Coturnix japonica: one gene and its partners. The protein of the gene in region 2 interacts with the protein of the main gene of each other region in a biochemical or structural test. Links are inferred from orthologs where the notes say so. Each region holds a gene or a part of one and is shown on either strand. Other genes may lie near its edges.

Evidence for each region.
Region 1: the proteins of ESR1 (region 2) and TRIM24 form a complex in vitro, tested with the Homo sapiens proteins (4 studies listed by BioGRID). The link is inferred for Coturnix japonica from reciprocal best matches to the Homo sapiens genes ESR1 and TRIM24.
Region 3: the proteins of ESR1 (region 2) and MTA1 form a complex in vitro, tested with the Homo sapiens proteins (4 studies listed by BioGRID). The link is inferred for Coturnix japonica from reciprocal best matches to the Homo sapiens genes ESR1 and MTA1.

What each region holds. Positions count from the first base shown.
Region 1 is NC_029516.1:55,912,929-55,916,215, forward strand, and holds the end of TRIM24 (transcription intermediary factor 1-alpha), read left to right. Parts: intron 1-796; exon of another isoform or gene 797-878; intron 879-1,013; coding exon 1,014-1,163; intron 1,164-1,942; coding exon 1,943-2,152; 3' UTR 2,153-2,688; downstream 2,689-3,287. UniProt on the Homo sapiens protein: Transcriptional coactivator that interacts with numerous nuclear receptors and coactivators and modulates the transcription of target genes.
Region 2 is NC_029518.1:44,173,176-44,176,842, forward strand, and holds the start of ESR1 (estrogen receptor 1), read left to right. Parts: upstream 1-724; coding exon 725-1,158; intron 1,159-3,667.
Region 3 is NC_029523.1:3,968,702-3,972,452, forward strand, and holds the start of MTA1 (metastasis-associated protein MTA1), read right to left. Parts: upstream 2,377-3,751; 5' UTR 2,130-2,376; coding exon 2,102-2,129; intron 1,625-2,101; exon of another isoform or gene 1,610-1,624; coding exon of another isoform or gene 1,591-1,609; intron 1-1,590. UniProt on the Homo sapiens protein: Transcriptional coregulator which can act as both a transcriptional corepressor and coactivator. Acts as a component of the histone deacetylase NuRD complex which participates in the remodeling of chromatin.

The DNA of each region.
Region 1 (3,287 bases), on a different chromosome or scaffold from region 2:
TGGGCAGCTTAAACTGGTGCCTGGTTTAGGGGTTGGTAACTGCCCACAGCAGCAGGTTGGATGATCTTAGAGTTCCCTTTTCAGCCCAGGCCATTCTAAGATTCTATGGAAGATGAAGCACTGGGTGGGAAGGAAGTTATGTGCAGAATTTCCCAAGAGCTGAATTTGAGAAATACTTCAAAAATAGACACAGAAAGTAAATTTAACACTGTCCGAGTGTTGTCACTAAAAAATGAACTGGGAGACATATTTATTTCTAAAAAAAAATACCCAGTTTTGAAGACTGGAGTCCTGCTTAGTACAACCATGAAACAGAATTTTGTATTATTAGGTGCAAGTTTATGAATTTAAAATGCTAAAAACAACTCGAGTTCATCAGGCAGTGGAAGAAAAAAGCAATCTGTAGTCCAAGGATGTACAGAAGTGCTCCTAGTGTAGTCCAGTGAACAGTGCCTCTATGTCCCTTGAAACATGTCAGTGGAAAAAGATTTCATCAATAAGTAATAATGCCCCTATGCATCCTTCTTATTCCATTTGAGTAAGAAAGTACATCTGAAATGCCAAAATAATTGATCTCTGTAGTTTACCACCATTTCTAAGGATATATTTCATCTCTGAACGTCACTTTAAGCAATACATTTACTGCATCTGAATGGGTTGCCAGAGTTGTTATATGGCAGTCTTGAGGGTGAGACTTAATAGATGGTTCACCTGATGTACAATGTCAGCATCATTTACTTTATTCCATGTAGTAAATGCAGTTGGCTTTATTAGTTATTTTGCTTTTCTTTTAAAGGAGGTGTTTGGAGAGGTGTATGTATTTTAGCCAGTAAAACTAGCGTGCATCACTGTTACTCCAGTAACCCTATTTGTAAAAGGTACAGTTTTTAGATGTTAGAGTTGTATTTCAAAAGGTGAGGCTAAATTTTCCCCTCTCCCTCAGATTTAAAGGTCTGAAAAACAACATGCAATGAACGTGACTGCATGTGGTAACATTTTTCATCTTTGTTTAGGTTCCCGATTACTACAAAATAATCAAAAAGCCTATGGACTTGTCAACCATCAAGAAGAGACTCCAAGTGACTGATTCATTCTACACAAAGCCAGAAGATTTTGTGGCTGACTTCAGACTGATTTTCCAAAACTGTGCTGAATTTAATGAGGTTAGAGAAGTAGACACTTCATCTGTTCTTGTAGGCTTAAATACTTTCAGAAGAACTAAGTGGGGGTAGAGTTTACTTATTTAATTAGACTTACATTGATGATAAGAGCCCAGTGAAAACGTAGATCACCTTTGAGAGTACATCAATATTAGATGAGTATGCAATTGAGATCCTTCTATTGAAGGGAGGAGAGCTGTAACAAACATGCAAACCGAAATAGCAGGGAAACAGGTAGGGAGAAGAATGGCTGTTCATCATATATGTTAATGGTGAACATTTGATTGAAAACTTGGTTTAATCCTCATTGTATTATATCTCAAATTCAGTGGAGTTTTCTTTCTGAAGTCTTACCCTTATTTGTGCTAGGAACTGAGTGGGCAAAAAGGGAGAGAATTGACAATGGAAATTAGATTTCTCTAAGTGTCTTCAGTTGGATTCTCCTTCGGGTCAGTCACTGGGAATACTTAATGCTATGGTGACACCCACTTCAGGAAACAGGTCAGCCATGGTGTGCATAAATGATTTCAGGGCTGCCTGGTCTTCTGAGATGTAGTCATTGTCCATGGTAGTAATATTTTTGCCATAATTAGAGGTAGGTCTGCATCCCAGAAAAATGTCAGCATTTCATGCAGTTGTTCTCTTAGCAGCCTTGAGATGTACTTATATATATTCTTAATGCTATTTGATTTTTGTAGCTTGTAAGAGCACCCGAAGGATATAATGTGTTTTAAGTATGAAGCTATTTCATGATGAACTGATGTTGTTAATTCACCCAACAGCCTGATTCAGAAGTGGCTGACGCTGGCATGAAACTTGAAGCGTACTTTGAAGAACTACTGAAGAGCCTTTATCCTGGGAGGAAGTTCCCTGTACAATCTAACTGCCAGAGTGAAAAAGATAATCCAGAACTTAGTGATGACTCAGATGATGACATCGTACAGCCTCGGAAAAAACGCCTCAAAGGAGAAGACCGACAGTTGCTTAAATGAGACGCATGTGGAACGTTTTTTAAAAACAAAGGATATTTATCACTGTCAATTGTCAAAAGGAGAAGAGTCCTGACTGCTTTGACCTGGAGGTCTGTGGATATCTACTGGACTTTCTGCCCCCTGTCTGAAACACAATTCCAGGGGAGATCCAGAGCATGCAGAGAGCTTCCTTGAAGTTCCAAACTTGCAGCATACTTCTGGAACAGCACAGAAACTGTGATTTGTATGGGATGACAGCTGTTTAACTTTACTTTGAAGTTTGTATAGAATTGAACTTTAAAATGTTACATGGGTTCAACATATGGTTTTCTGAGTTTGAAGAAAATGTGATCTCACCAGACATTTAATTTTACCAAAGGCATGTGGCTGGCCATGATTTGGTTTCTTTGTACTGTATTTAACACAAGCCATGAAAACAGATGTTGTAATATTGTTGTCCTACAATGCTGACTGATGCAATGAAAGTGTAGTTGCCCCTAAAGAAGTTATTGGTTAATTTTAAAATGTGAGGGAGAGTGTATTAAAAATAACTTAAAGAAACAAAAGGAATTTGAGAGTTTTTAATATTGGAAGGAAAAACACGGGGCTTCGTTTTTTACCATTTTCCCTCAGCCAGAAAGAAACAATGGTATTCCTATACAATATGTTGTTTAAAAGGTGCCTCACACGTTTGACGTACTTCTGTTTAATGGAGTTAAATATTAGAAGGAATATCTCAAGGGCAAGAACGTTTGCTTGCAACTATCAAGCTTTTTGGTAAGCTTGGGGGGAAAGAAAAGTGTCTTTTCTGTCTACAAGATCTTGTTGTTTTTCCAGTTTTCTAAATATTATTGTGGGAATGCAGCCAGTGTTAAATAAACAAGTGTAAAGGAGGGGGAGGGTTTTAGAAAAAAGAGATCCTGTTCCTTGACCCTTCTGTCCTTGTTAAAATCAACAGAAACCGAAGACAAATGGTGTTGGAATTTTCTTTTTCTCCTGCTTTCCAGAAGTGCTGATAACAATGTAGATGGTTGTTTCTGCATTCAGCAATTGCAGGTTTAAAGTTCTTCTCTATGAGAGCCGTGGCTGTTGGTTTATACTCTTCACGTATGTCATCTTAAATGAAAACTGTCTTATTTAGGAAGAGCAGGCAATC
Region 2 (3,667 bases):
CAAATCTTTTACATTCTTTAATTTCTGTTAGCTAGTTTTGTTGACAGAGACTTGTTACACACACAGATGCATGCGCTTGCACATGCATTTTGCTTTGCCATATCTCAGTTACAGCATAGTCCTATCCAGGGTCATTACAATGTACACATTACATATTTCTAGCAAACATGAAAATGAATCAAACAGGGAGAGATAAGCACAGATAGATTGGAGCCTGCTGAGGAAATAAAAGGCAGTAATCTGGCTGACCACTGGACTAGTCTTTCTGGTCTGATTTCAGCGTCCTTTCCCGTTAGCTGCTGTGGAGTGCTGGCTGCCCTGCAGTGAAAAATTAAATGACTAGCAAGAATAAAGTAACATTTAGTGGGACAATTGTTTGGTGTACCTCCAAAACTAATTGTTTCTGAAGTGATGTTTAAATCAGCGTCGGCACAAGGCAAGAGCCCCTGGCTTGCAGCCAGCACCTTGTAACGCATATTAGAGCAGATGAGGAGTTCTCAAAAGTTAGAGGGAGAGGGAGAATGTGCCTTTCCAGTGCTCACCCTGCATTTGTTTGTATACTCCTCCTCGCCGAGATCAGAGGAATACCTGTGTAGTGCTGCTTTAACATGATTTCTGCTGAGCCTCAGAATAGGTTCTGGTGTTTTTTTTAGGTGGACTGCCAGCTGCCGATCTTGCTGTTGACAGTAAAAGCAGATATGTTCCTTGCTCCCTGCCATTAGCAATGACCATGACCCTTCACACCAAAGCCTCTGGAGTTACCCTGCTGCACCAGATTCAAGGCACTGAACTGGAGACTCTGAGCAGACCTCAGCTGAAGATTCCCCTGGAACGATCGCTCAGCGACATGTACGTGGAAAGCAACAAGACAGGAGTTTTTAACTACCCAGAAGGGGCCACCTACGATTTTGGTACTACCGCTCCAGTGTACGGCTCTACTACACTCAGTTATGCCCCTACTTCTGAATCTTTTGGGTCCAGCAGCCTGGCAGGATTTCACTCTCTGAACAATGTCCCACCAAGCCCAGTGGTGTTCTTGCAAACGGCACCCCAGCTCTCACCCTTCATCCATCACCACAGCCAGCAGGTACCCTACTACCTTGAAAACGAACAGGGCAGCTTCGGGATGAGGGAAACTGCTCCTCCAGCCTTCTACAGGTAAGTGCAACAGAGAATTTCTCTTTCTTCTTTAAGCAGCTATGCTGAGAAATCAGAATATTGAAATATGTCTGCCCTACACTTTCATTTTTGTGTAAAGGACTGTGTAATCTTGTGGAATCTTCCATGATATCGGGACCATAAAAATAGCAGAGGATAAAACAAAACTGTAACTCACAGCTTACTGTGCCTGTGATCTGTAAATAATGAAAACTGTAAGTAAATGGGAAACAAATTAGATAATGAGTGTAAATGTTTCCTGGGAAAACATGAAATCATAATTGATTAAGGAGTGGCAAACAATCTCCTTGTTGCAGTATATTAAAATTACTGTCTAGAAGCATACTGAAAATGTGCAATTGGCTGTTTGTTCAGCTCTTAGCTGCTAGTAAGAGTATTACTTACCTCTGGTATCCTTTACAGGATAAGTGACTTATATAGGAAGTAGTTCACAGGCACAATATCCTTCCAAATCAAACTGTTTGAACTGATTCAATGACAGTATTTCAGTCAGCAACCACTTTAATGAGCTGCAATAAGAGCTATGTGCCTTGCATTTTTAATCAAACTTTGATATATATTAAGCATAAATCTAGCATGCTGCATTTCAAAATAATTTTTATAAATTTAAATATGATTTCTTTTTAAATTTATATTTATCCTTCAATAGAAGAATTTTAATACGCACTGGAAATTGTGAAAGCATATACTTAATTTCTGACATATGTGTGAGAAACTGATAGAACTGTAGCTTCCAGGAAAATATAATCAAACACACCAGTACTCACATTGTTAATCTTTGTGCACTGTTAATAGCTTAATTTTTTACTGGCATATAATAATGGACTATAGCAAATTAAAGTGAACGGTTAGCTCCTAAATGCTGTCCATGTCAGCTTATTTGTGAAATACAGGTGATTTTTATACAAATGGAGAGACCCTCTAAAAATAAAACCAGGTTATCCTTTCCCTGTCGAGGCCAGACTTAACTGTTGCTGGGAACAGCAATGTAGGTTATTAAACACAGTGTCACGCAACCTGAGATAATCTTGTAGCAGAATCTGATCCAAAAAAACAGATGGTGATTGCACTTTTTGCAAATGATTAATCGGTTTTGGGGATCAAGTGGAATAAAGACAAGTGAAAAGATAACGGTTAGGCCAGGCAGCCCAACTAATATGTCTCTTAGCTGAACTGATTCAGACAAAATGTATTTTAGAGCAACTGAAGGCAATAACTCTAGGAGGAATTAATGTACTTGAACATTGAGTATCTGGATTGTTTAACAGTGATGTGGGTGTGAAAGTGTGTTTTGCACTAGATTCCATGTTGTTTTTATTTTATTTTTATTTTTATTTTTTTTTTATTTTTCAATATGATTATCCAGGGCAAAACTCTGTTAGAAAGCGTTTAAGGGACATGTGGTGTGTAAACAGCTGAACAGTGAGTTTGTGAAGCTGAAATGCACATGCAGGAAATGGGCTAAAGTGAGGGCTTTTTACTTGAGGAGGGAGAAAAACCAAGAATCAGTTGGAAATGAAAACTGAACTGTGGAAATGGCATTATTTTATTTTCTAACAGTGAGCGGAGGTGGGACACTTCAAAATAAAAATGGCATACATTGTAGTAGTAACATTCAGGCACTGCAACAAGCATTAAAGGGCAGCGGTGTATTCCCATTGTCCTGATGTTTTCAGTCAAGGATAGGCATGTCCTTTCAAGATGCATTTTAGATGTATATAATATATGAGGCTTAAAGCAGTGGAAATTAGGTGAATGTATGATCTTGGTTGTGCAGGTGGTTTATCCGAATACAGAGTTACAAGACTGATTTAATGGCCTCTTCTGGCCTTGATTCTGTATTGCACATTTGACATGGTAATAGGAAATGTGGAACAAAGTCCTCCCCATGATTATCGTCTGTTACGAGGCATAGTACTGTTAGGATTAAATAGACAAAGCTTTGCTGTTTAAAAATTTCACAAAGACCATATTTGGGAAGTTGTCATATTGACAAAATTAAATGTTAGGTTCTTATTCTTGTATACCAGTTATAAATAGTATGCTAGAAATATTCTAAATAGGTGTTCGGTGTCTGGGAGACATCTCATTATCTAATCATGAGGTACAAGAGCAAGTTCTTTCAAAAATTTTAGTGCATTATTTTCCAATTTGCTTTATTCATTTGTCTGTTCCAATCCCACCTGAATTCAAAAGAGAACATAAGGCAGTGTAATCTGGCAACAAACACATAGATTTTGGAGATTTGAAGATGTCTAAGTAACAAAATGATGAATTTCTGATGTAACATACTAGTATGAGTGGTAAAGGCGTAAAAAACTAAAACCAAAGCCATACAAAAATTTAAATTCTATCATGATCAGTTTATGATCGCTTTCTTGCTGTGATAATAAGTAATATAACCAGAGTCTCAAAAAGCCCCCTTGAAAATTCTTATTTGCCCTTTTGGTGCAGCAGTTGTGCTGTTTAGCTTGCAATACTGTAAAGT
Region 3 (3,751 bases), on a different chromosome or scaffold from region 2:
TGCTCTTCCTGCAATGGGAAGTACACGAAGTGACCGTGTACAAATCAGCTGGGGATTTAATCCCGCCCTGGAACGCACACACAACTTCAGCACACAGCCACCAGCACCAGAGGTCAGCAGCAACCCAGCAACGCAACCTCTTGGCTCAGGACGGGGCCGCAGCACAGAAATGGCCACATCCATCCACACGTGGGGCTCGGCAGCACACCCAGCAAGGCTTCATCCACAAGAGCAACACCCGAGCACAGGAACTGGCCACCAGCCAGCGCCTCACCCTCTGCCTGCGGAGGTTGTGGAGCAAAGCCCGGACACCATTCCCAAGCACACAGGGGTGACCGACATCAGCCAAATGGCTACAGCAGGGGCTCAGCATGCCCTAGCAATGGGGCTCCCTGCAGAGATGAAGGCTGGCTGCACAGGGACGACCCTCAGCTGGCTGCCACTAAGAGAAGCCATGTGATCAACACGGGGCCACAGCCTTTCCCATCACCTTTCTAGTGATGGGAATGCACTCTGTGGACATGTGGGGAACTGTGAGAGACGTGGCACACACTGGAGGACAGGGCTGCTGTTTGAAGGAACTTCAACAGGCCGGGAAAAGGGATGCCAAGAGCCTCACTAAGTTCACCTAAGGCCAAGGGAACCCTGCACCTGGGGTGGGCAGCTGCAGGAGCACAGCAGGACTACGGAGCGGCTCTACAAAGACACCTGGAAAAACAACTGCCCAAGTGGCAGCATGCAGCCTCACAGCACAGCTGCCCAGCACCGCTCACCATGGCCTCAGCAGTGCAGCCAGAGAGAGGCCGGGTTCCGCCTGCTGCTGGGTACTGGCAACACACCAACACCACCCCAGCACAAGGATGGGTTCATTTGCTGTAAGTATGATCCAGCACCGGGATGGGCCCAGACCAAGGACACCATCCCAGCATCATCATCCGTAGCAATACCCCGGCTGGGCTGCACTTACCCATTGCTGTGCAATGAGCTGACTTGCAACAGCAAGCAGCCTATACATCTCCAGCACGGGCCCCTTCCCACTGCCTGTACAAGCCTACGGGGCACACAGTACAGGTACCATGCAAGATACACACCAGTACAGCACTCAGGACTCACATACACGATATTAAACACCAAACAGCGATTCCCTTTGCCATTCACACCAGCATCCCAGCCGTAAGTTCACAAGGCTCAACTCCATCCCTGTCCTCTGAGCACCACAACCCAACACACGGCTCCACACGCGCATCCATTGCCGGGGCAGCACAGGAAGCAGCGGCAGGCCGGCCCAGAGGCACAGCTCATCATCCATCTGTAAACCAACACCGCACCACACTGCCACAAAGGAGGCACGGAGTGAGGCCGGCCCAGAAAGGCAGACAGAACAGAAAGTAGCGAAGGATGGCGAGCAGCCGGGCAGGGCGGCTCGGACACCTCCGCTGTATTTTTTTCCCCTCCGTTTACTTTACTGCGTGTTTACTGCAGCCCATCACAAAGGGCTGCCCCGGAGCCCCACGGACGCGGGGAGAAGGAAGTTCCGCACAACATTTCTCGCAAAGGAAAATGGCTGAGCGCAAAGCCACGCCGGCCCACCCGGCTGTTGATACTCCATCACATCGCACGCCGGACCCCGCCGCCTCTCTCCTCTCCTCTCCTCTCCTCTCCTCTCCTCTCCTCGAGAGTTAAAACAAAGGACGAGCGGCCCATGGGCGCCGGGCCGGGATGGCACACGGGGAGAGGCCCGACCCACGGCCCGGCGGCCCCTGGCGGCCCCATCCCCGCGCAGCCGTTCCCGGGTGGGCCCCAACCTCCGCCCGCTCCACCCAGGGCCGCCCCCCGCGGCCCCTCGGTCTCCCCGCGCCGCCCCTTCACCCCGCTTCACCCCGCCGCCATCCTCACTCCCGACTTCCCCCCCGTCCTCCCCGCTCGGGCCCGGCCTCCCGCGCGGCCTCCATCCCCCCCCCAGGCCGCCCCCGCTCGCGGCCTACCCCCGCCGCCCCGCCCCGGGCCGGGCCTCGCCCCAACGCCGGATCCTCGGCCCGCCGGGCCCGCAGCGCCGCCCGCACGCGGCCGGGCCGGTCCTCGGTCCGGGGGCAGCGCCTACCTCCCACCCGGTACATGTTGGCGGCCATGCCCGGGACGGGTGCGGGGCGCGGGCCGCTCCCGCCGCCTCCTCCTCCTTCTCCTTCTCCTCCTCCAGGTGCCGGATCCGCTGGAAAATGGAGGCTGAAACGGCCGGGCGGGGGAGGGGAGCGGGGGGAATTAAAGGGGCCGCGCCGGCTGCCGCCCGGCCGCTCCAGGAAGGCGGGAGGGCGGCGGGAGGAAGGCGGGGCGGCGGCGGGACGGGAGCGAAGGGAGGGAGGGAGGGAAGGAGAGAGGGAGGGAAGGAGAGAGGGAGGGAAGGAAGGAGGGAGGGAGGGAAGGAGAGAGGGAGGGAAGGAAGGAAGGAAGGAGGCGGCCGGCACGGAGCGCAGCGTGGGGCGGAGAGCGCCGCGCCCGGCCTGGGGGAGCCCAGCGGCGACGGGCGGAGCGACGGGCTTCACGCTCAGCACCGCGTGTCCTCGCGTGCTGCCAGCCACAAGGGAGGACAACGAGCCGCAATACGCACCTACAGCCCGCACCGCCCAGCCCTTAGCAGCTCACCCCTGCCCTCTCGCCAGGCTCGGTTCCCCCCGCTCCCACCCCTGTATCCATCCCCCTGTGCCGGCTGTGACACCCAGCGGCTCCTCCTGCCAAACAGCCCCTGCTGACAGATGACTCCAGGGACGGGGATGTGCTTTCATGTCCAGTTTTATTAGTGTTGCATTAGTACCATAAAATAGTTGACGAGGTCGAGCACGTTGCAGTTTGTTCAAAAAAAAAAAAAAAACCAAAAAAATAAACCAACAAAAAAAACCCAAAACAAAACAAAAAACAACCAAGAAAGGCTATTTACATTTGAACTTTCGTCATAAAAATAAAAAGAAACAACCGAGAACCCAAACAAGACGACAATGAAACAGATGGACAACTCGGGAGTCTACAAAGTGGTAACGCGCCCTCGAGTGCTGCGGGCCGGGCAGGGCTGTTAGCACAGCACACAGCATCCATGGCAGCACAGCGCTTCCCCATTGCCCCGCAGTGCTGCAGAGCAGTGCTATTCCCTATGGAAACCAAGGACCCGCTGGTTGGGGACAGAAGCATCGCACCCACTGTTGCTCCAGGACCCCCCACCTCTGCACACCCAGCAGCAGCCATCAGCTCAGCCCCTCTCTACAGGGTCTTCCCTTCGAGCTTTGAGCCACAACGTGCAATGCCCCAATCCTGGCTCTGTGCTGCTCCCTCCGTGCCTGTTGCTGGTGGGAAAGGACCAGGTGGGGCCTTCCTGTGTGAGCTGCTTCCCGCTGGCACGGGCAGCAGGTGACCAATCCACAGAGCTGGGGACGAGCCTTTATCTCCAGAAACCCAAAGGACCAACAAGCACAAGGTGCAGCACGACACCACAAAACCCATCTCATCTGCTCACCAGCACAGTCAAACCAGGTCAGTGCCACAAGGAGCCCTCATCTCCAAGCAAGGTGGGAGCCCTTCTCCCAGCAGCGTTACTGTCTCCCTCCGGTGTAACCCGGTGAATTGGGGTGTACAAAGTTACACCAAGACACAAACCAACACGAAACACACCCAGCGCTCCTTTCACACGTACACACACACACACATAGAGCAGGGCAATGTACACGTGGACTGGCAGGACCCAGCAATCCTGCACCAGCTACTG